Linked DNA regions of Canis lupus familiaris. The protein of the gene in region 1 interacts with the protein of each later gene in a pairwise test. Links are inferred from orthologs where the notes say so. Each region holds a gene or a part of one and is shown in the gene's direction. Other genes may lie near its edges.

Region 1 (3,500 bases):
CAATGGACCCTCTGGGTGTGGTCCCCTCTTTCCCAGAACTCACAGTCAAGTACTTTTTTTAAATCATCAAAGAAATCTAAGTGAGGGGTGCCTTAGTGGCTCAGTAGAGCACACCACTCTTGATATTAGGGTTGTAATTTCAAGCCCCATGTTGTGTGTAGAGATTACTTAAAAATAAAATCTTTTTTTTAAAAAAGAAATGCGGGATCCCTGGGTGGCGCAGCGGTTTAGCGCCTGCCTTTGGCCCAGGGCGCGATCCTGGAGACCCAGGATCGAATCCCACGTCGGGCTCCCGGTGCATGGAGCCTGCTTCTCCCTCTGCCTGTGTCTCTGCCTCTCTCTCTCACTGTGTGCCTATCATAAAAATAAATAATAAAAAAAAATTAAAAAAAAAAAGAAATGCCCATGAAGTCAAGTTAGAGATAATTATCTTACAGTAATCACAATAGGAAAAATTTTAACAAAACACTACCAGTGCTTAGCAGGGCAACTGTGAAACAGAGGGGCAGGGTAGCATAGCACACAGTGAGGCAGAGGGAGAGGTCGGTTGGACATCACCACACATACCCTGCAGACATTGCAGGACCTTGGTGAGCATTTTGGTATTTTATCTTGAGAATGAGAGGGAGCCGTTGAAGAGAGTGCAGTGATTGGGCTTGATTGGCTTTGCCTGATCGAACACTGGCTCACATTTGGGGCATAAAGAATGATCTAGGAGAGGCCTGGTGGAGGTGAGCCAGGCCCTGATGCCACACCCGATGGCCCTGTGAAGGAAGACAGACATGGACTAGAGAGGTGGCAGGGGGAAAGAGAAATGGATTGGATTTGAGAGGTAAGGACCAGCTCGCCTCATGGAGTCAGGATCTTGGGACCCCTGTCAGGAGTGGGATCTAGGGTCTAGAGGGAATGAGTGGGAGCCCCCCACCTCTTACACCTTTCAGAAAGGACTGCCCTCTAATCCCTCCCCATTCTTCTTCCGTCAGAGGTGGTCGTGGGGACAGGACTGGCCGCTATGGGGCCACTGACCGTTCGCAGGATGATGGTGGGGAGAATCGCAGCAGAGACCACGACTACCGGGACATGGACTACCGCTCATATCCCCGAGAGTATGGTAGCCAGGAGGGCAAGCATGACTACGACGACTCATCTGAGGAGCAGAGTGCAGAGGTGAGGGCCGAGGAGGACAGAATTCCTGCAGGGCCTCTGGTTGTAGCACCATGTGCAGGTAGCTCTCAGTTCCCATGCCTTCAGACTGTGCTCAGTGGCTTTGCCTCACCTGGAGGGTCTGTCCCTGCTCCTCTCTGAGGGCTCCTCTCCCAAACTGGGTCTCCCTGACTTCCACCTGCTTGGCTCTGTACTTCTGAGGGCCCTTGGCCATCACCTCTTTCCCTTCTTCCTTGTTTTTTAATTTGGGCTCATGGTTCACTGCAAGCCCTTTATTTTACTGCCTGCTCCCAGCCAGTTTGGGGTCCTTGAAGAGCCTTTTGCATGAGACCCAGCATGTGGGGCTTGGGAGGGCAGTGGGGACACTGGATATCACCAAGCAGAGTAGCTCTGGGAGGCCAACCATGGGCGTTTACAGGGGCAACAGAGCCCCTATACAAAAGGGAAAGACCCTCTAGGGCCTCTCCCTTTGAGCTCAGAGGGTAGCCAGTTCCACGTTGGGTAGTTAGCCTTAGCCTGAGGAGGGGAGGCGTTCACCATCTGAGGAGAAGCAGCAGACTTGCCTTAAGGGAACCCCAGTTTGAGAGGACCCTGGGTCCAAGCAAGCAAGCAGCTCTCCTATCCAGCAGGGTGGGAAGGGTACTTTTGCAACCCAGCCCCGGGGTATAGAGTGGGCAGCCAAGCTTCACAGTGGCAGCTGTGATCTGTGCCTGGATGTCTCCAGGGCACCAGGAGGCCCTGGGTGGACCCACTGGGAAGAGTGGGAGTGGAGACCTGAGTTATCTCGTCCCCCTGAGGGCAGAAGGGGTGTGGACCCTGGCCTGGCCTGCTTAGTCCTGGCAGGATGGCTTGGGCAACATCCAAGAACTCCGTGACCACACCCTGTTAGGAGGGAGCCTAGTGATGATAGAGCACCGGCCAGGCAGAGGAGGATCAGGGGCTGGGGGCAGTGCTGTGGCCCTCACATCTTTGCTAGTCCCTGCTGACTGGCTCCTAGAACCCTGGCCCATGCCAGAAATCATAAGGCATAAAGAACAGTCGTGCACATTCTAGCCGAGCTGGCAAGGGAGGACGAGGGAGAAACAGGGGGCAGGATTTAGGGTGCTGACCCCAGACCCAAGGAAGTTTAAGCAGTCTGGTCACCTGTCTGTGGGAGTTTCTCCCCTACAGTAATACTACTGCCACCAGCCTCTCCCCACTCCCCACCAAGGCAGCCCCCAAAAGGCATCCGGGGACAGTTTCCCACCCCAGAAGGGTTGCAGTCCAGGGCTGACCCATTTTGCCTGCCCTGAGTCTTTAGCCGGAGCCCGCCCACCCCTGGCTTTCAGAGCCCGCCTGCCTCAGAGAGCCAGCGGCCAGCCCCTAGGCCCACCCCAGACTGACTGCCCGTCTGGTGTCTCTCGTCTCATTCTGTTGGCCAGGATTCCTACGAGGCCTCCCCGGGCTCCGAGACTCAGCGTAGGCGGCGGCGGCGGCACAGGCACAGCCCCACTGGCCCGCCAGGCTTCCCCCGAGACGGCGACTATCGGGACCAGGACTATCGGACCGAGCAAGGGGAGGAGGAGGAGGAGGATGAGGAGGAGGAGGAGGAGGAGAAGGCCAGTAACATCGTCATGCTGAGGATGCTGCCACAGGCAGCCACTGAGGATGACGTACGTGCCCCCCCCCCCCCATGGCTCCGGGCAGGCGACAGAGCAGGAGGCCAGGCTGGGTCTCCTCCAGGGCCCCCAGCTTCTCCCTCACCCCGACTTCAGCACCTTTTATCCCTTCTCTCCCCCAGCACTGATCCGTCCTCTGGGCAGGCCCTTGTACTCTCCTGGTCCGGAAGGGAGGAGTGTCGGATAGGCTGGCTTGGCCAAGGGGCTGCGGTGGTGGGTGTGGGAGGGAACAGAGCATTCCTCCCAAACATTCCACTGGTCATCCATCCATTCGGCATATGTTGATTGAAGGCCAGATGCTCACCAGGCCCAGAGCTGGGTATTCCTGGTGGCAGAGATGATGTAGGGCCCTGCAGCCCTGGGGATAGGGAGGGTCCCCATGAGATTTTCTGAGATTTTATTCACATTCTCTCCCCATAGCCTCACCCCCTCCCTATTTTGGTAGCAGCATCAAATCTCAGTGGCCTGGCCACAGAGTCCTACATTCTTTGACTTCCTTTGCTGCTACTGACAGCCTCCCCACCCACCCCATGCTCTGTGACATTTCCTTCCGTATTCCTCCCTTTTCTTCTGTTTTCTTCTCATACAGGCTTCCCCTAATGAGTCGCAGTAAAACCCCAGGGAGCCACTAGAATAGCCTCCTCCCCAGCCTCCCTGAGTCTCCTCTCTACCTCCCCT
Region 2 (3,500 bases), on another chromosome or scaffold:
AAATCGGTTTTTGAATTCAAAGCGTTAGTGTCTTTTTTGTTGTATCATTTTGAATGGTTGCCTTATTAGTTTGATTTGGCCTTATGTTTTAAAAGGGTGGAAAATTGCAAGAGAGTTGGACTTAATGAGCTAAGTGTTTGGCCTTTTCACAAGTGGAAGTGATAGAAGGCTTTTGGGAATTTTTGGTGTTTCTAAGTTGTCATTTTACTTGTAGAACAGTGCAAGTGCATGTAAAATTTATATACAGTGAAATGCACAAAACTTAAGGATAGTATTCATTTAATCTTGATAAGTTTATACACCCATGTAACCAACACTAATAAAAATGTATAACCTTTATACACCTTTTTCCTCGTGCCACTTCCAATCAAGGAGCCATTCAATTTCCAGAAGTTTTTTTGTTTTTAAATAATTTGCAGATGCCTACTTGGAATTTGAACTTCATTTTTGCTGAAGGATGATTAATTTCCCTTGAAACAAAGAAGACCATTTTGTAATCCCCATAGTTGTGGTTCCTTATATTGCTTCTTAGTAGGTAATTCTGAAGGGAATATCCTAATCTGGTGTCGTTTAAGATCAATTACAGGGTCCAAGGATTAATTATATTTCATTTTCTTTCCACAGTTAAGTTGCTTTTACAGAATTAACAGGTCTCCAAGAAATTATAAAAAGGTAAGATATCCAGAGCTTAAGGCTTTTCACAGAAGCTTGACAAAAGAAATGTAAAGTAGAATAGGACATGTAGGTACACATGGCTTCTGTACTTTATGTGTGGCCAGTGATGTATACTAATGGTAGACAGTTTATTATCATAAGCAAAAATTATGTACTGACCATAGATGGCTTTTTGAATATGTAAAACTCATCGTTGGTTAGTAAAATTCTTTAACCCACAAAGCTCTCTCTCATGTTTTAGGAGAAGGTAGGTTTCTAAGTGAGTCTGAAAATAGTTTGGTCTTGTTGTGAAGCAGTGCTTGGCAGACTTACAAAGATTATTTGATATTTTTGATGCTTATATTGTATAGGATAGGTGATATGAAATATTTCTTTGAAACAGTTGGTTTATTTGTATGTTTAGATGGGAGGTTTATTCTTTAAGAGATTAGATACTGTATTTTTACATATACATAATTTTACATATTTTTTTGTATTTATAATACAAAAAATTTTACATATTTTTACATAATAAGGTATTATGTATCATACCTTATTTTCATTTATAAATGCTGAAGAAGGTAGGAACCAAGTAATTATTAAGTTTAGTTGGGGATAAGGTACTTCAAAAATAAGACTTGCTATTATGTGTACCTTTTTGTCTGCAGGTCATTATTGCTGTGGTTTGAGCTCAGCATGGCTGTAGTCATCCGTTTACTGGGGCTTCCTTTTATTGCGGGGCCTGTGGATATTCGTCACTTCTTCACGGGATTGACTATTCCTGATGGAGGAGTGCATATAATTGGAGGGGAAATTGGGGAGGCTTTTATTATTTTTGCAACAGATGAAGATGCAAGACGTGCCATAAGTCGTTCAGGAGGGTTTATCAAGGATTCATCTGTAGAGCTCTTTCTTAGTAGTAAGGCAGAAATGCAGAAGACTATAGAAATGAGAAGAACCGATCGCATAGGAAGAGAGCGACCGGGATCCGGGGCGTCAGGGGCTGGCAGCTTATCTAACTTTGTCGAGGCTATTAAAGAAGAAGCAAGTAATTCTGGATATGGCTCTCCAATTAATCAAGATGCTGGGTTTCATACTAACGGTACAGGACATGGTGATTTAAGGCCAAGAAAGACACGGCCATTGAAGGCAGAGAATCCTTACCTGTTTCTGCGAGGTTTGCCTTACTTAGTAAATGAAGATGATGTACGTGTCTTTTTCTCTGGTTTGTGTGTGGATGGCGTAATTTTCTTAAAACATCATGATGGCCGAAATAATGGTGATGCCATAGTAAAATTTGCTTCATGTATTGATGCTTCAGGTGGTCTTAAATGTCATAGAAGTTTTATGGGTTCAAGATTCATAGAAGTAATGCAAGGCTCAGAACAACAGTGGATTGAGTTTGGTGGTAATGCAGTTAAGGAGGTTGACATTCCTATGAGAACTGAAGAACATTCTCCGCCAAGAGGAATTAATGATCGGCATTTTCGAAAACGATCTCATTCAAAATCTCCCAGAAGAACACGTTCTCGTTCTCCTCTTGGATTTTATGTTCACTTAAAAAATCTGTCCCTAAGTATTAACAAGAGAGATTTAAGAAATTTCTTTAGAGATACTGATCTGACTAATGAACAGATTAGGTTTTTATATAAGGATGAGAGAAGAACGAGATACGCCTTTGTGATGTTCAAAACTCTGAAAGATTATAACAGCGCTTTGGGTTTACATAAGACTGTTTTACAATATCGTCCAGTTCATATTGATCCTGTTTCTAGAAAACAGATGCTGAAGTTCATTGAATGTTACGAAAAGAAAAGACCAGTGTCTGTAGAGAAAGAGAGGCTTGGACATGTTTCACAGAAATACTCTCAAGAAGGCTATCCCGGCCAGAAACTGTGTATATACATAAGAAATTTTCCTTTTGATGTTACAAAAGTTGAAGTGCAAAAGTTCTTTGCAGACTTTTCTCTTGGAGAGGATGATATTTACTTACTTTATGATGACAAAGGAGTCGGTCTGGGAGAAGCATTGGTGAAATTCAAAACCGAAGAACAGGCCGTGAAAGCTGAGCGTTTAAACCGGCGGAGATTCTTGGGGACAGAGGTATTGTTAAGACTGATATCTGAGGCACAGATGCAGGAGTTTGGCGTAAGCTTTTCCTTGATGTCCACGGAGAGAATGCAAGGCCATTCGCAGTCCTGTGACAGAGACGACCATGCCCATTCATTTGACTCCAGTGACCCGCCTCTATACTCCGCCGGCCCCTCCGAGAACTTCAGGCACCAGCAAGAGGACTTGAGGCAGCTGGACAGTTTCAAGCAAACCCAGGCGGACTTCCGGCAGCTTGACCGGAGCCTTCCGGAAGACTTCAGGCATTCCCCAGAGGACTTCAGGCGCTCTCCCGAAGACTTCAGGCGCCCTCGGGAGGAGCACTTCCGGCGGCCGCTCGAGGAGGATTTCAGGCGCCCTTGGGAGGAGGGCTTCCGGTACCCTAGAGAGGAGGACTTCCGGTACCCTAGAGAGGAGGACTGGAGGCGGCCCCCCGAGGAGGATTTCAGACGGCCTCCCAAGGACGACTTCAGGCGACCCCCCGAGGAGGACTGGAGGCGGCTCCCCGAGGGAGACTTTAGGCGGCCACCTGAGGAGGACTGGAGGCGGCCTCCTGAGGACGACTTCAGGCGGCTTCCCCAGGGGGAATGGAGACGACCACCCGAGGAGGACTTCCGGCGGCCTCCCGAGGAGGACTTCCGGCGACTCCCCGAGGAGGACTTCCGGCGACTCCCCGAGGAGGACTTCCGGCGACCTCCCGAGGAGGACTTCCGGCGTTCTCCCGAGGAGGATTTCCG
Region 3 (4,300 bases), on another chromosome or scaffold:
CATAGCAAATGCTGAGTAAATATCTGCTGAATCAGCTGATGAGTCAATTTCAGTGAACTCTTAGTTAAAATATACTTTTCAGTTCACAAGCAGCTATCACACTTTTTTTTAAAGATTTTATTTTATTTGTTCATTAGAGGCAGAGAGAGAGAGAGGCAGAGACATAGGCAGAGAGAGATGCAGGCTCCCCTCAGGAAGCTTGATGGATCTCTGAACTCCAGGATCATGCCCTGAGACAAAAGCAGAGCTTAACTGCTGAGCCATCCAGGCATCCCTATCACATTCTCATCCTTATTGCATGCACAGTAAACCACAGAAGAAATTTCTGTCTATCCCTGGAAATGCTAATAAACTATTATTTTAGTATTTGGTGAAAGGATATGGCTCTGAAATTCCTCAAGTTTTCTGGGCCCAGTTGATTTAACAAACATTTTCTAGATACTTAATGCCAGACACTGCAAGCTGCTGGGGTTACAAGGCTAAGACAAAGTCCTCCTCAACAGGGCCTCAGTCCATGAAGTGGGACAACCATACAGTAACGTATGGTTCATATACAGAGAGGTTAAACGCAAAGTTTTCGTTGGAACAAGAGAGGTGCCTAAGTTGAGAGGCTTAAGAAAAAGAGGATAGAGAAAGCATGTTAGAAAACATAACACCTGAGCCACATCTTGAAGGTGGACAGGTCAGTGAGAGGCATTTCAGCCTAAGGGCAAACAGGCTATTTATGGAAGCCAGGAGAATGCCTGCCCTGTGTGAAACATGATGGTAGGAAAGAGTTAAAGACAAGTGGATGGAGAATACAGTGAAAAGGTAGAAGTAGCCGGTCCTCAAGGGCTTTATGACACTATCGAGTAGAGGCAGCTTTTGAAGATGTGAACAGGTGTATGACAATTACCTTCTGTGGAGGATAGACTGGAGAGGCAAAACGAGACCTCGGACAGTCAGAGGCTGTTGCATGGTTAAGAGAACGCGAGAGGGCCTGATCAAGAACAACGAGGAGAGGAGGGATGGATTTAACAAGTATTTACTTACTTTATAAACTTATCCTGGTCATCAAACAGATGTAGAGAGTGGGAAAGAAATCTAAGGTTTCCGGTTTAAGCAACTGAACACATAATTCACAGAGGATAATCGAAGGCAGAAAAATTTACATAAGAAATAGAAGACCATTAGGAAATCAGAGCGTTTTATTGAACTCAAGCAGCAGGGTGTTAAGGAGGAGGAGGGCGGAGGATGGAACCCTGGGGAACCACGAGGACTGAGGCGGGGGTAGGCAGAAAGAGTACAATAGAGCCGTGGAATTCGTCACCAGCCTGCGCTGCAGACTCGCAGGCCCCGACCTGCAGACGGGAGGGCACGCCGCCGGAGGCAAGCGGACGGACCCACCCGCGCAGCTCGCGATCCCACCCGGCACCTGCGGGGCACTACCGCTACGCCCTCCGGCGGGAGCGAGTGTCCGCTCGCACTGCCACAGTTCAGGCGCCTGCGCCCTCAGAGCCTTGTGACACCTGCAGGGCAGGTAATGAATGGGATGAAGCCTGGCGATGTGGGCAAGGGTCCACAGAGTTTCACAGATCATATTCCATCTGTGGCTGCCCTTTGAGAGAAACGGGAAGAGCTACCCAAAGGCCTCACCCTCATACCTGCCCTCCTCTACGCCACCACACCCAAAGACCCCGCTGCTCTCCACCCCGCATCGTCCCAGATAAACTAACACACGGGGCCAAGCAGGTGGCGGAGTCTAGCCCCGCGCTCACGGTTCCGTCCCCTCCCCTCGCCTCTCCGCTACTCCCAAAACACTTCCTCTCCCTCTTCCGGAAGCTCGGAGGCCCCACCCACTACCGCAACGCCTGGCCTTAGCCAATGGCCTGCTTCCCAAGGAACGTTACCTCTGACCTCGGGGCTCATCAGACAGTGGGACAAACTCCTCGCGAGAGGTGAGGTTGAAGCTGCCTCCGCCATCTTGGAGATGGGAGACGGGCGATGGCTGTGGTCCTTCTGCTAATGCAAACAACAAAACGGGCACAGTAGTCAATGCGGGGGAGCTTATCATCACAGAAACTGTTGACCAAAGCTACAGAAGGAGTGAGGGTGTCAAAGCGCAGCGCAGCGGCATCGATAGCCGCTTCTCCTGCTTGCGGGAGCGGCAGAAGTGAAGTGAGTGGAGGCCGGAAGGATGGTGCAGTCCTGTTCCGCCTACGGCTGCAAGAACCGGTACGATAAGGATAAGCCCGTTTCTTTCCACAAGTAAGTACCCCGCGCGTCTCGCGGGGCTGGCCCAGCTCGGGCTGGGGGCGAGCGGCCGGTTAGGCTCGGGGGCGGGGCCAGCTTGCGTGCGCGCGAGCCCGGATGAGGGGCGGGGTGGGGCAGGGGCGGGGCCAGCGCGTGTGCGCGCGAGCCCTGATAAGTGGGGCGGGGCGGGGCGGGGCGGGGCGGGGCGGGGCGGGGCCAGCGGGTGTGCGCGCGAGCCTCGACGAGGGGCCGGGGCAGGCCGGTCCTCCTCGCGGTCCCTAGTCCCCCGTCCCCCGTCCCCCGTCCGCCGGGCGGCGGGTGTACCCGCCTGGGTCGGAGCTCTCGTGCTGCCGCCTCCGGCTGCGCGTGGCTGCCATGGCCGTTTCTTGCGCTCGAGAGTCGGAATCCACGCTCGGGGTTCGTCCGCCGCCTGCCGTGGACGTGTCGGCGCCCCAGGAGCGGCGTCCGTGGGCGCCGCGCGAGCCTCTGCTCGGGGTAAGAGGGCAGCGAGGGCGTAGTAGCGCCTCCTGAGTCAGTACGGAGCCGAGACAGAGGCTGTGAACGTGACGGAGCCGCTCTTTTCCCAGCCTTGGCGTGCCTGGGAGGCCAGCTTCACAGCAGCTCAGGCTTTCGGGGAGGACGTGTGCACTCAGTGCCTAGGGGCCCACCTCGGGGCACCTCTGGCTGTTGGAGGGAGCCTCTGGGACGGCCAGGACCTCAGTTGGCGCGCAGCGATGGGGTCCCAGGTCCGCACAGCTGGCTCGCCCCCGAGGAAGCCCACAGGTCCCGGGGCCGTGATGGCTTTGGCGGCTAGAGAGGCCTGTGGGAGAAACGACCTCGTGATCATCGGATGTCTGCAAAGTGGGACTCGATGGCATTTTCATTCCGCCAAATAAAGTGTTTACAGACTTTACGTTATTATAAATATGATTATTTACATTATTATTACCAAACCGATGGCAAATTATAGCAATTATACGTAAGTAAATCATTACAAAAGCAAAATTTAAGTATTCCGTCAGTTTTTTTGGTGGGGTCGTGTGTAACAGGGGATGTGGGTGCATTTTATGCTTAGTAGAAGAGGGACCCAGGGAAATGAGTGCCTTACCACGCAGATCTGAGTGTTGATTGATGGACCACCACCACCATCCCCATCCTGCCCTCCACCTGCAGGACGACTGAGAGCACCTAACACTCCAGGATCTACTTCAGTATATCCTGAGATCACTTCTTTATTTGTTGGAATTTCTGAAAGCTGATGAATTGACTTCCAGTTCTTTGAAAGTGTAGGAATAGATCAGAAGACGGTGACACTGTTATGTTACAGCCAGCTCTGCACAACCCCGTTTCTAATCAAAGAATCTAAAAATGTGGAAAACCCTTCATTGGTACTAGAAACTAAGGATGGCGTTCACACATCAGAAATAGTTTCTGCTGGCTGTCAAATGATTGGGTCAAAGGAGGAGCTGATCTGCCTCTCCTTCTTACCTATAAAGAACAATTTTTTGGAAATAGATGGGAATTATTCTCACAGAACTCCATCATGAACAGCCTGATCATTGTAGTGTGTAAGACAGGAGGCCCAAGGGGCTGAATTTTACTGGTGATGGCTACCATCTGTTGTATTTCTGGAGGCCATTTCCAGCAGAGATCTTCTACCACTTTCTACATGGTGGCCCAGTGGCAGCAGCTGTTCTGGGCAAAGAAAAGAACTGTCCCAAAGATTGGTTAGTTCTTCATGATAGCAGAGTCCAGCTCTGGCATACCTTATGTAGAAGAGAAGCTAGAACATGGAGTTGAAGCATCCTTTGGCTTTCCAGTTTCCCCATTTCACTAGATACTTGACTTGGAAAAGTAAAATCACAGTAAATATAAACCCTTTCTAAGCCCACTTTTCTGGGCCAGATGGACATATTCCAGTTGATTTCGAGGTAAAATAAGATCAATAATATTCTTATGCTGGAATTAAAAACAAATCAGAAGACTAAAATAAATTAAAACTTTTATTTTTTTAAATTAAAAAAATTGGGCAGCCCCGGTGGCTCAGTGGTTTAGTGCCGCCTTCAGT
Region 4 (4,167 bases), on another chromosome or scaffold:
TTTCTCTTTCTGTGACTATCATAAATAAATAAAAATTAAAAAAAATAAAATAAAATAAGTTTGTATTTGTTAAAGATGTATACTGAAATCTAAACATTGAAGAAATGAAATAAGAATGCAAGAATGTTGGCTTTCATTGAAGCTGTATTCGTGGATTTATTATACTTTCTCTATTTTTGTATATTTCTAAAAATTTCTCTAAATTTACATTTATTTATTTATTTTTGTATATTTCTAAAAATTTCTCTAATACAGTTAGGCAACGTGAATATTTTTTATTGCCAATCTACTTCTTCTGATTTAACAAAAGATACTATATCTCCAGCAGCCCCTAAAGCCTAGGAGAAATTATAACTAGGTGAACGGTTTGTAAAAGCAGGATGGGTTACCAAAGTAAGGGTGGTTGAGTTGTTAAAGAGACCAAAGCTTACAGGGGAGATAGTATGACATTAAGCACAAAAGTGGCAGAATTTGGGAATTTGTAACATGTTATTGGGTTTATCTGAAAATAAGGTAGAAAGACTGTACCCTGTAGACCAGACTTAAGGGTGACTGGTAAATTGTTTGGTTGGATTTCACTATCTGAAACAGACATAAAAGAGTAGAAGGGTGCTTTGGAAGAAATACTACCTGGCAGTGAAGAGGCCTACCTTTTTCCTTAGTAATTCTGAGAAGATCATTTCACTTTTCTGGGATTCAGATGGTTATAGTACCTGATGTCTTGGTACAACTCTCTCATATGCTGCTCTGCCAGCTATGAACAGCTAGAGATTTTGGATTAAACACTATACAAGGTCCTCTCAAGATCTAAAAGTTCCTGATGCTAATGAATGTGTATGATTGTGCTTCTTGAAAGGAGGAATTATATCTACATACCAAAGAATCCAAATTTCCCTATAGGATGATAAAGTCTTAGATGATAAGAAGAAGTAATGGTAGGGTAGACTGAATATAAACTTTTGTGTCTGCCAGTCACACAGAATTCTTTGTTGCTAGCCTCTGATCTACTTAGAAATACAGACTACCTAAGCAAGTGGCACTGCATTTACCCTTGGTGTTTAGTCCAGTGAATTGTTAGACTGGCCTATAACTTTGGGTCAGGTATAGTTCTTTTGGCTTCAAGAAGCAGCTTCCACAAGATAGCAGTTTATTTATTAGTAGCACGTGCTTTGTACATATCTAATTAAAACAAATAGTTCTGTGTGTATGTGTAAAACTCATAATGTTTTATTTCTAGAGGAGAACATTATAAGATAGGATTTATTCTAATGATTCTTAAAATCAGCTTTCTAGGAAGTCATACAAGTTTTGACACAGGAATGCTCAAATTGCCTAAGGGTTATCCATTCTTTTAAATATAATTTTCTTTAACACCTATTGAACTTTTTCTTTTTTCATTTAGGCAACGTGAATATTTTTTATTGCCAATCTACTTCTTCTGATTTAACAAAAGATACTATATCTCCAGCAGCCCCTAAAGCCTAGGAGTCCAGTAAATCATTAAACAGACTCATGACTGAAAAACAGGTAAACTTGAAATATTATATATATATTATAAATAATATATATAATTATATATAATAACTATATAATTATATATATATAATTTGATCATTCAAAATGTGTGGCATTATTTACAGAGTATTTGGTTTTTATGAGTCATAGTAGATAGCCACTGAGATGCCCACATAGCTTTTGGTTCCTAAAGCAGATAGCTTCAGTAATTTTAATTCTGGATCATGAATCTTTGTGACCAACAACATAAATAAGGGAAAAGATTGTAGGAGGAGAAGTGTGGAAGGGATAAAGAAGGTGAAGAAAGTCAGCAGTCAAAAGGAAAGATTTGGTGCTGTTAGTAATAGTGCTATTGTAGTCATACCAGTAGAGAGCTTAATGTTTGGGGGCATTTGAATGTGGAGAGTAGTATTTTTATATGTACTTTGTCTATATTAATCTTTAAGCTATTACAATATTTAATACTATATCACTAGTAAAAAAACTATTTTATAAATTATATTTTTCAAGCACTTAAACATTGATTGTAAATTCACTCAGATTACCTTTTCAAATATACTCACATAACTTAAAAAGCAAGTAAATTAACTTCACACAGTGATTTCAAATTGATCATTGTATTTACATTAAAAGACTATTAATATCATGGGTTTAAATATCCAAAAAATCATCTCTATTTTTATTCTTATCTGTATTGTATATTCTTACTACCTTTTCTTCCCATTATTGTTTTTATTTACTTAATTTAGAGAGTTAGGGAAAAAAAAATTTAGAGAGTTAGGGTCCCCCTCTCAGGTTTATGGTACGAATAGGTATTTAGAATCAGGGATACAAAACTTGAGAATATCTTTCAGAGTGACGCTACTAGAATCAGTTACTTAGATGGACAGACTCCTTTTTATAGTTAGACCTTGTCCACTATACAAGGGACTATCTACATCATTGGCTTTGACTATTCAGGCATTTTGATTTTTTTTGGTGACCTTATTCATTAAGTGGTACTTGTTTCTGTGTGACTTGCATTTAATTTACTGTTCAGTAAATATGACCTAATTGGCAGCTGTTTCTTATCTTTCTTTAAACTTTGGTCAAACCTTTTTTTTTTTTTTTTTTAAGATTTTATTTATTTGAGAAAGAGCAAGAGCCTGCACACAAGCAGGGGTAGTAGGGTCAGAAGGAGAGGGAGAAGCAGACTCCACACTGAGCACAGAGCCTGACATGGGTTTGATCCCATGATCCTGAGATCATGACCTGAGCTAGAATCAGATGCTTAACCAGCTGAGCCACCCAGGCACCTTGCAGCTGTTTCTTTTGAGTAGGGCCTGGTGTGATTTGGTTAAGCAAAAAAACCCTAAGGTTTGTTTGGTTCATTGAAATTACAAGGTGTTTTTTGGTTGGTATTTTTGTTTCAATTTATCCATTACAGCCTATATGTATGAGTATGGAATTATATAATGTGCTTTATTATTTGTGCTTATTTGCATTCTTTTTGATCTGCTAATTTTTTAGACATTTGTTTTAATTTTAATCATCATGTGTGCATAAAAAATTCATATTAAGAAACTTTGGAGAAAAAGTTCCATTATTTTGTAAACAAGGAAATTATATTTGAGAGGGTGTTTCTTCACTTTATATATTGAAGTTGATCGTTCTCTCACTCCTTGTAATTACAGCGAGAAGAAGCAGAATGGGAAAGCATAAATGTGCTGTTGATGATGCATGGCTTAAAGCCTTTATCTCTAGTCGAAAGAACTGATCTTAAAGGTAATCAAATCCTATTCTTGCTAGATCCTATCCTTTCTCATTATGGTAAAAAAATTGTTTTTCCTTTTATTTTTTTATTATTATTTTTTTTCCTTTTAAAACTAATTTTTATCTTAAATTTTTTTGCCTTTTTTACTATCTGTATTATATTAAAAAATGTAGATCTCATCGTTTTTGATAAACAGTCATCACAAAGGATGAGGCAGAATTTGAAAACATTGGTGGAGGAAACAACACGTCAACAGAACATGATCCAGGAGCTCATAGAAACTAATCAGCAGCTTAAGTAAGAAAACAGAATTCTCTTTTGAATTGTTTGTATACCAGTGGTATGCATTCTAAAAATAATGCCTTGAATCTTGAACTTTAATTTTCTATTTTGACTAAATATTAAGTTTAAAAAATATTTTTAGTAGGTAAATCTTTCAGTAATAGCTTAGCTTAGATATGTAAGGGTGCCTTGTATTTCTTCCATTGGTTTGTGTTATATGACAGAAATTTTAACAATGCAATGAAATTTTAGAAATTCGTTATGTTGTTAGATGAGTATGTTTGTTAATGTGATTTCCTTCTATACTAAGGGAAGAAATCATGTGTCTGTTTTTAGAAATGAACTTCAGCTAGAACAAAGCCGAGCAGCCGATCAGGAACAACGAGCTAATGACTTGGAACATATTATGGAGAGTGTGAAATCCAAAATTGGTGAATTGGAGGATGAATCCCTAAATAGGGTTTGCCAGCAACAGAATAAAATAAAAGATCTTCAAAAGGAATATAAAGCTTTACAGGTATTATGTGTTTTCTTATATGATAGTAGTAAAACAGCTCATTAAGGTCACAGGTGACTTCTATGTCACTTAATTCAGTGGTCTTTATCTTATTGACAGA
Region 5 (4,062 bases), on another chromosome or scaffold:
GCCCGGGGCGCGATCCTGGAGACCCGGGATCGAATCCCACGTCGGGCTCCCTGCATGGAGCCTGCTTCTCCCTCTGCCTGTGTCTCTGCCTCTCTCTCTCTCTGTGACTATCATAAATAAATAAAAATTTAAAAAAAAAAACCGTCACGAAATAAGAGACATTTATTATATAATGGTAACGGGGTCAACGTGCCAGGAATATTTAACAGTCATATGTTTCCAATCAACATGAGAGCACTCAAACATATGAAGCAAACACTGGCAGAACTGAAGCGAGAAATCAACAGCAACCCAATAAAAACAGATTTCAATATTCCACATTCAGTAACGGATAGAACTCCTGGACAGAAAAAAAAAAAAAAAAAGGTCAATATAGTCAACCGAAGCCCTGAACGACAGCTCCAGACCAAATGGACCAAGATGGGGATGGACACATACAGAACATCCCAACCAGCAGCAGAATACACTATTTTCAGGCACACTTGGATAGGAACATTCTCCAAGATAGATCGCGTTGGGATGCAAACTAGGCCTTACCGAATTAAAAAAAAATTAAAAAAAGATCAAAAGGCCACAAAGGACCGCAATGAGATGAAACTAGAGACCGACATCAGAAGGAGAACTGGAAAATCTACGAATATGTGAAAGTCACCGACACTCTGGCTCACGAATGACCAATGGTTCAAATGGGTCAAAGATCACAAGGGGAATTCGGAAAGATCTTGAGACGAGCGACAACGCGGCCTACAAATACATCATGAGAAGCAGCAAAAAAGCAGCACTGAGAGCAGTTCAGTGTCCACGAGGAGCCCTAAGACAACAACGCATGACCTCGAGTTGCACAATCGTTAACAGGTATTAGACCACACAACAGACTTCAGATCTGGCGCAGAGGCGGTGCAGCCAGCTCCACCGGGGAAACAGGTGACATCTGCACCGCGTCTCGCACACGGGACGGGCACGGCGGGCTCAGCAAGGAGTGAACGTGACCTGAATCTCCTACGTTGCAAGGCGCATCCCTCCTTGGCTCCGCCCTTGCCCTGGGATACCAGGCAGCTGCACGCTCCTCGCAGTCCCCACGACTGCGTTGTAAGCCGGGACTCAGCCCCCACTACGGCCTGCCCAGGGCCCTGAGACCTCCACTCGCCTCACCCGTGCCAGACCCGGGAACGTGGCGGCCTCCGCCATCCTTCCCGACCCGCACCGGAAACCTACAGCTCGGCCACTTCCGGGAACTTCCGAACGCCTGAACCGCGCACCTCGGCGCCGAGCGCCTGAGCCGGAAGATGCGTCCCTGCGTGTGGCGGAAGTGGCTGTGCGCGTGACGCCAGAGGCGGAGGGGGCGGGGCCTGGGGCCGAGAGCGGTTCGCGCGCTTCGGGCCTAGTCCGGACTCGCCGCCGCCGCCGCCATATTCCCGGTAACGGGGGCGCGCGGCCGGGGGCCGGCTGAGCCGGAAGAGGGCGCGGGGCCAGCGCTGAGACTGGGAGGGGGTCGGTTGAGTTTGGGGCAGTCGGAGGCGACGGGCGGTGGGAGGTGCGGGCTTTGAAGGAGGAGGCCGAGCGCGCCGGGCTGGATCTGTGGGGAGGGAGCGGGGCGGGCCTAGCTGGGGGCGAGGACTGGGCCCGGGTGGGGAGTGGAAGCGGCCGGAAACCAGACCCGCGGGGACTCGAGCCCGGGACGCCGTGGGGCCTCGGCAGGTGCGGCGGGCTGGGGCGCGGGCTTCCCCGCGGGCGTGCTTGGCAGCGCCGTCCCGGGGCCCCTCGCAGCGGAGGCCTGGGCTTCGCCGTCGCGCCCGGGCAGCTGCGGCGCACTCGGGTCAGGCCCGAGGGTGATGGGCAGCGAGCCCCGCGAGCCGCGGCGGCCTGGGAGTCCGAGGGGCGGCGCGAGGCCGGGGGCGGGGCGGGCGGGTGGGACCGAGCTTGGGCTGCCGGGATGCTGCGTCTCTGGAGACCGGAGGTTGGCAACCATCGCTCCCCTCCCCGCCCGGGACCCTCACGCCTCTAACTTGCCTCTTCCAGGGTACCGCAGTGGCATCTTCCTTGCCTTGTCCGTTCTCCGGGCTCGCGATCGTCCTTCCGGAGCCATGTCCGAAGGAGTGGACTTGATTGATATATATGCTGACGAGGAGTTCAATCAGGTGAGGGGGCGTTAGCATCGGGGCTTTCTGGGCTCCGCTGAATCACTTTGACCAAACTTGCAGGGGTTTCAAGCACTGACAGTCTTTGCTAGGCCTGAACATCCTCCTGTCGGGTCTAGATTTTTTACTCCACCACAGACTTTAAAGACGGCCGACCATTGCGTGTTATGCTGATTTTTAGCTGCCAAGGCTTAATTTTACAAGCTTTAAGAGCACATAAAAATTAGATATAATAGAATGGTGAATCAACCTGTGGAACTTGCTCCCCCAGGAGGCCGAACTTGGCTGTCAGTCTCCTCAAAGACTAGCCACACTTAAGAAAATCGCACTTAGGTTTGCTTAGGTTAGTATTCATGAGGACAGTGTTCATACCTTTTTCCTTTGCGGTTATTCTCCCACCCCCCCCCCCGCCCCCTTTTAGAGAGGGAGAAGGAGGTGGAAGGGGAGAGGGAGAGAGAATCTTTTTTTTTTTTTTTTTTTTTATTTATTTATGATAGTCACAGAGAGAGAGAGAGAGAGAGAGAGGCAGACACACAGGCAGAGGGAGAAGCAGGCTCCATGCACCGGGAGCCCGACGTGGGATTCGTTCCCGGGTCTCCAGGATCGCGCCCTGGGCCAAAGGCAGGCGCTAAACCGCTGCGCCACCCAGGGATCCCCTGAATTTGGCTTTTTTTTTAAAAAATATTTTATTTATTTATTCATGAGAGAACAGAGAAAGAGAGAGAGAGAGAGAGGCAGAGACACAGGCAGAGGGAGAAGCAGGCTCCATGCACCGGGAGCCCGACGTGGGATTCGATCCCGGGTCTCCAGGATCGCGCCCTGGGCCAAAGGCAGGCGCTAAACCGCTGCGCCACCCAGGGATCCCCTGAATTTGGCTTTTTTTTAAAAAAATATTTTATTTATTTATTCATGAGAGAACAGAGAGAGAGAGAGAGAGAGAGAGAGAGAGGCAGAGACACAGGCAGAGGGAGAAGCAGGCTCCATGCACCGGGAGCCCGACGTGGGATTCGATCCCGGGTCTCCAGGATCGCGCCCTGGGCCAAAGGCAGGCGCCAAACCGCGGCGCCACCCAGGGATCCCCGGGAGAGAGAATCTTAAGCGCTCCATGCCCGGTGCAGAGCTGATGTAGGGCTTGGTCTCACATACCTGAGATGATGATCTGTGCTGAAATCAAGAGTCAGAGACTTAATGGACTGAACCACGCAGGCGCCCTCCCCCCTTGCAGTTCTTTGAAAGGGCAGCTGGGGAAATGTAGTCCCCTCCTCCATAAGGCAGTACAAAAATACAGTGTAAAAGATACTTTAACATTGAACTGCAGCTCCATTCTGCCTGTTTGGGGTCTTCCTTCTGTAAGTAGTTTGCCTCTAGTCTTGAGAGGTGCATAGGCATTTTGGTGTAATAAATTTTATTTTATTGATGAATGTAACTGTTTAGAGGGTAGAGGTAAGGGTGTTGGACAAACCAGTTAAAAAGCATATGTAGACCCCTTGGTATACCCTGGATTTGTCGGTCGGTTTATATTACCTCAAGGAACATTATGCAGTGATATTCCTCAAAATGATAATCTAACATTGAAGTCAATCTCAAGAATGTTCCATACTCTGTATTTAAAAGTTAGTGATATCTTGCGGGAATTGTTTTCAGCACTATTTTACATGAGTAAACTGGTTCTTCCCATTAGCACCTTTCATTAGCATCTTACGTGGGTACACATAAGGACCTGGAAAAAGGATAAAAAGGACAGATTAAAGAAGGTGCCCTGGTTGGACCCTGACTTTTATACAAGGCAACAAAGGTTTTATACATGTCATTTTTTTTTCACTTGGCACAAGTTATATTAATATTTTTAACATATTATGCCGTTTTCTAACATGGAGATTTTAGAACACCTAAGTAGAATAGTATAGTGACCTTCTACCCATTA
Region 6 (4,256 bases), on another chromosome or scaffold:
GTTATAATAATAATAAAAAAGATGCCAGAAGTAGTGGACACATCTCAGAAATAGGGAGCTAGAGCTATAATAATATTCCTCTCTGCCTCTCTTCACCCCCTTCTCAGAAAGGCCTCTCAGCTCCCACAATCTCTGGCCTCCAGGATGAGCTATCCCATCTTCAGGAGCTTTTAAGGAAATGGACACCAAGAGTATCTCCTGAGGATCACTCCAAGAAAAGAGATCCAAATACCATTCTTTCCCAGTCCCGTTGAAATTGTTGTCTTTTTTATGGGCATGGCAGAGGGGGTCCGGGGTGAGGGAAGGTTCTGTCTAATCCTCCAATTTTTCTTATCTTGGTCTTGCTGTCTCAGCTTTTGACACTCCAGCCCTCAACAAGCTCACTGACCTTTCTGTTGCAGATGGGTGGTGCTAACCTTCTCCAACTCTTGCCCTGTCCTGTTTCATTCTCGAGATATGTTTCTCATGATTTGAGGAATTAAGAAACAAAAGCAATCCAGAATACGATTACCTTTGTTCTTTTCAGGGCAATTCCATCCCTCTGGATACCCAGCCGATAAGCTGTGAGATGAGAGATGCTGTTCATCAGTTCAAAGGAGATGGCCTACAGAACTCATTCTCACCTCCTCTTGCTGCTTAATTCCAATTTCTGTTTCTTCCCTCTGGTTTTCTATGGGTATGCTAGTGGGTATGGGACACATCCTGTCTCTCCCAATTGTATATTTTGTAGTGACATTTCTATTTAACGAGTTCATTAAAGTACAGTTGCTGGCATTATCTCTGGTGTCTGAATAAAAGATCCTAAGTAAAAAAGCGATGATAAACCGGGAGAAGAAGGGACCCACCATATTATTGTTCAGGAAATATGGAGATAGGTCAGGCTGTCCACACTAATCGTTTCGTAAGATGGGGCAAAGAGCATGCAAAGACATGGTTGGTGGGCCCGGGGTATTCTGGCGGTTGAAACTGAGGCCCCTGGGCTGCAATGTCAGGTACCCTCAGCTCTGGGCACACATCATCTCTGAGCCTCAGGTTTCCATCTCCCCCATGCAACAGGATCATGTGAGCTCCGACGCCACTCCAGCTCAGACACTCCGCAATCCTCTCCCCAGAAGCCGCGGGCCACGGTGGAGGGCTGCCTCCGCACCCTAAGGCAGCCGAATCCTTGGGTTGGAGGGTTTCCTCAGCACACCCTTCTCCGGGGAACAAAAGGATAGTTTGCCAACAAAATATTTCTAAATAAAGTTTTGTTCTTTTAGCTTTTGAGTTTACATTTTTAGGAGTACTGTGATCCTTTAACGTCCAGCACTGCCTTAAGAGGGTCTGGGCATTTCCGTTCGGCCCTCATCGCTTTGACCGCTAGCAGCGGCAAATCCGCGCAGAACCACGGACCGGAGAACGCGGCCCCACAAGCCGCATCAAGTCTCCGCAACTCCTAAGATGGCCGGGGCCTCTTCCGGCTCCTCCCCCATCAGGCCCCGCCCACCGCCCTCGTGACTACCTTCGCCCCGGAAGTGGAAGTACTGACTGAGGTCAGAGGGCGGGATCGCTGCCTGGAGACGGCGGGAGCTCTTTCGCCATGGCGGCCGGCCCGATCTCCGAGCGGAACCAGGGTAGTTGGAGGGGATGAGGCCAGGGAGGCTGGGAGGCCTCGAGGAAGGCCAGCCGTGTTTTCGCCGGGGCAGGAGATCGGATCCCCCCGGAGGGCGCGAACCCGGCCCCCGTGCCGGCTGGGGGTGGGGTGGCCGGGTGCAGGCTGAGGCCTGTGGTTGTGATGCTCTGTCCAATCTCCTGCGCCTTCCCATTCAAAAAAACAAAACAAAACAAAAACCCAAACGAAAACCAAAAACAAAGCAATTCACAGAGAATTTGCAGCAGAACCTTCAGTTAGACTTAAGAAGGTTCTTTAGTTCTGGAATGAGAGAGATGTAAGGGCTTACTCTCACGTCTTTTTCCTTTTTTGTTCCTATATCCCATCTCCACTCCCAGTTCCCCCGCCTGTCACTTCCTTCTTTCCCGTCGTTGTCTCATCCCTGCCATAATCTGCTCATTTCTCTTAGATGCCACTGTCTACGTCGGGGGACTGGATGAGAAGGTTAGCGAACCCCTGCTGTGGGAGCTTTTTCTCCAGGCAGGGCCAGTAGTCAACACCCACATGCCAAAGGATAGAGTCACAGGTCAGCACCAAGGTGAGTACATCACAAGAGGCGTGTTTATGCATTGAGGGGACAAGCTGCTCCTGGAGGGTTCCGGCAGTATTCATAGGCAGTATTCATAGCCGTTTTGGAATCACCTGTAGATTCTTCCTTTTAAGTGTCATTCAATGTTTGCTTCTGGAACCATTCCCAGTTGAAGTGAGGTGGTTATTTCATGTTCTTTGTGCTTTGGAAGGTGCATGAGTTACACACGAAATTGAATCACTTCACTTAAGTTAATCTCTGCTTTTCTACTTCCCAGGCTATGGCTTTGTGGAATTCCTGAGTGAGGAAGATGCTGACTATGCCATTAAGATCATGAACATGATCAAACTATATGGGAAGCCAATACGAGTGAACAAGGCATCGGCTCACAACAAGAACCTGGACGTGGGGGCCAACATTTTCATTGGCAATCTGGACCCAGAAATTGATGAGAAGCTGCTTTATGATACTTTCAGCGCCTTCGGGGTCATCTTACAAACCCCTAAGATTATGCGGGACCCTGATACAGGCAACTCCAAAGGTTATGCCTTTATTAATTTTGCTTCATTTGACGCTTCGGATGCAGCTATTGAGGCCATGAATGGGCAGTATCTCTGTAATCGCCCCATTACTGTGTCCTATGCCTTCAAGAAGGACTCGAAAGGGGAGCGCCACGGCTCAGCAGCTGAACGACTTCTAGCAGCCCAGAACCCACTCTCCCAGGCTGACCGCCCTCATCAGCTGTTTGCAGATGCACCCCCTCCGCCTTCAGCCCCCAATCCTGTCGTATCATCATTGGGGTCTGGGCTCCCGCCACCAGGTAAAGCTTTTATTCAAAGTATTTTTGTCTTGGGCTTGGGGTGTGGTGGTGAGCGGGGGCAAGGGGAGGAGAAAAGAACTTGATAAAGGGGGACATGGAGTCAGTAGGTGATGAGAAAGAGAGTGAGGGGTGACAGTTGTGGGGAGAAAGTTGTTGAGTTGAAGAGGCTGAAGTTGTTCCTAGTTATCTAGTATTGCTTCTGATTTTAGAGAGCTGGGAGGAAGGGAAGAGAACTTATCCTGCCTGAGGAGGCCAGATTGAACGGGCTTTCTAAAGACATTCTCTCCTTACTATCGTTAACTTGTCTTTCATTTCCTCTATAGGCATGCCTCCTCCTGGGTCCTTCCCACCCCCGGTGCCGCCTCCTGGAGCCCTTCCACCCGGGATACCCCCAGCCATGCCCCCGCCACCTATGCCTCCCGGTGCTGGAGGACACGGTCCACCATCAGCAGGAACCCCAGGGGCTGGACATCCTGGACATGGACACTCGCATCCTCACCCATTCCCACCAAGTGGGATGCCCCATCCAGGTGAGTGTTCTTTGCTGGGGAAAAGGATAGATAAGCTTGTTGGAGGAGCTCCACTGCCACATGCAGTGCTGCCCTCATCCCTCAGCAGTAATAGTAGATAGTCCCGGAGCTCTGCTTTTTTTTCAGACATTCTTTTATAAAAACAAACACGAGACACTGTTCTCTGTTTACTTTAACAGCTACCACCCTGTCTCCATTTATTATACAAGTTTTTCCAAAGAGTGTAACTGTACTCGTTTGCTTTTTCCTTTAACTTTTACTTCATTTTTCTCCTCCGACTTCTACCCCAAAGCAGTGACCTAATTGCCAAATAGAGGGGGCACTTCCATTCTTTACCTGGTTTGCCATTTGGTGTACTTGAAACTGGGTGTGTTGTCCTTTTTGAAAAGCTTGCCTCTTGGTGTTTCTGGATTTTTCATCTGTCTCAGACTCCTTAAAGTTAGCCACATTAGGGATCCCTGGGTGGCGCAGCGGTTTGGCGCCTGTCTTTGGCCCAGGGCGCGATCCTGGAGACCCGGGATCGAATCCCACATCGGGCTCCCGGTGCATGGAGCCTGCTTCTCCCTCTGCCTGTGTCTCTGCCTCTCTCTCTCTGTGTGACTATCGTAAATTAAAAAAAAAAAAAAAAAAAAAGTTAGCCACATTAGTAGGCTTTTCTCCCTCTCCATGTAGCTGGGTTTTTGTATCTGGTTCTCTTTTCTTTTTTTTTTTTTAATTTTTATTTAT

Evidence for each region.
Region 2: the proteins of RBM10 (region 1) and RBM12B interact in a two-hybrid assay, tested with the Homo sapiens proteins (3 studies listed by BioGRID). The link is inferred for Canis lupus familiaris from reciprocal best matches to the Homo sapiens genes RBM10 and RBM12B.
Region 3: the proteins of RBM10 (region 1) and THAP1 interact in binary tests that used the Homo sapiens proteins (3 or more experiments, as listed by UniProt). The two-hybrid records come from large-scale screens. The link is inferred for Canis lupus familiaris from reciprocal best matches to the Homo sapiens genes RBM10 and THAP1.
Region 4: the proteins of RBM10 (region 1) and CEP70 interact in binary tests that used the Homo sapiens proteins (3 or more experiments, as listed by UniProt). The two-hybrid records come from large-scale screens. The link is inferred for Canis lupus familiaris from reciprocal best matches to the Homo sapiens genes RBM10 and CEP70.
Region 5: the proteins of RBM10 (region 1) and CPSF7 interact in binary tests that used the Homo sapiens proteins (3 or more experiments, as listed by UniProt). The two-hybrid records come from large-scale screens. The link is inferred for Canis lupus familiaris from reciprocal best matches to the Homo sapiens genes RBM10 and CPSF7.
Region 6: the proteins of RBM10 (region 1) and SF3B4 interact in binary tests that used the Homo sapiens proteins (3 or more experiments, as listed by UniProt). The link is inferred for Canis lupus familiaris from reciprocal best matches to the Homo sapiens genes RBM10 and SF3B4.

Annotation. Positions count from the first base shown.
Region 1 is NC_049260.1:40,963,372-40,966,871, forward strand, and holds part of RBM10 (RNA-binding protein 10), read left to right. Parts: intron 1-983; coding exon 984-1,167; intron 1,168-2,585; coding exon 2,586-2,816; intron 2,817-3,500. UniProt on the Homo sapiens protein: Binds to ssRNA containing the consensus sequence 5'-AGGUAA-3'. May be involved in post-transcriptional processing, most probably in mRNA splicing. Binds to RNA homopolymers, with a preference for poly(G) and poly(U) and little for poly(A).
Region 2 is NC_049250.1:39,289,783-39,293,282, reverse strand, and holds part of RBM12B (RNA-binding protein 12B), read left to right. Parts: intron 1-624; 5' UTR 625-672; intron 673-1,322; 5' UTR 1,323-1,350; coding exon 1,351-3,500.
Region 3 is NC_049237.1:23,673,943-23,678,242, forward strand, and holds the start of THAP1 (THAP domain-containing protein 1), read left to right. Parts: upstream 1-1,500; 5' UTR 1,501-2,176; coding exon 2,177-2,247; exon of another isoform or gene 2,248-2,332; intron 2,333-2,471; exon of another isoform or gene 2,472-2,727; intron 2,728-2,733; exon of another isoform or gene 2,734-3,158; coding exon of another isoform or gene 3,159-3,211; intron 3,212-4,300. UniProt on the Homo sapiens protein: DNA-binding transcription regulator that regulates endothelial cell proliferation and G1/S cell-cycle progression.
Region 4 is NC_049244.1:35,301,043-35,305,209, reverse strand, and holds the start of CEP70 (centrosomal protein of 70 kDa), read left to right. Parts: upstream 1-1,367; 5' UTR 1,368-1,512; coding exon 1,513-1,527; intron 1,528-3,188; coding exon 3,189-3,279; intron 3,280-3,441; coding exon 3,442-3,565; intron 3,566-3,886; coding exon 3,887-4,067; intron 4,068-4,167.
Region 5 is NC_049239.1:55,593,396-55,597,457, forward strand, and holds the start of CPSF7 (cleavage and polyadenylation specificity factor subunit 7), read left to right. Parts: upstream 1-1,262; 5' UTR 1,263-1,418; exon of another isoform or gene 1,419-1,491; intron 1,492-1,584; exon of another isoform or gene 1,585-1,698; intron 1,699-2,019; 5' UTR 2,020-2,084; coding exon 2,085-2,138; intron 2,139-3,726; exon of another isoform or gene 3,727-3,858; intron 3,859-4,062. Other genes in the region: SDHAF2 (succinate dehydrogenase assembly factor 2, mitochondrial), read right to left, coding at 1,153-1,188.
Region 6 is NC_049238.1:59,867,874-59,872,129, reverse strand, and holds the start of SF3B4 (splicing factor 3B subunit 4), read left to right. Parts: upstream 1-1,456; 5' UTR 1,457-1,579; coding exon 1,580-1,613; intron 1,614-2,060; coding exon 2,061-2,189; intron 2,190-2,457; coding exon 2,458-3,000; intron 3,001-3,323; coding exon 3,324-3,530; intron 3,531-4,256. Other genes in the region: MTMR11 (myotubularin-related protein 11), read left to right, coding at 108-254. UniProt on the Homo sapiens protein: Component of the 17S U2 SnRNP complex of the spliceosome, a large ribonucleoprotein complex that removes introns from transcribed pre-mRNAs.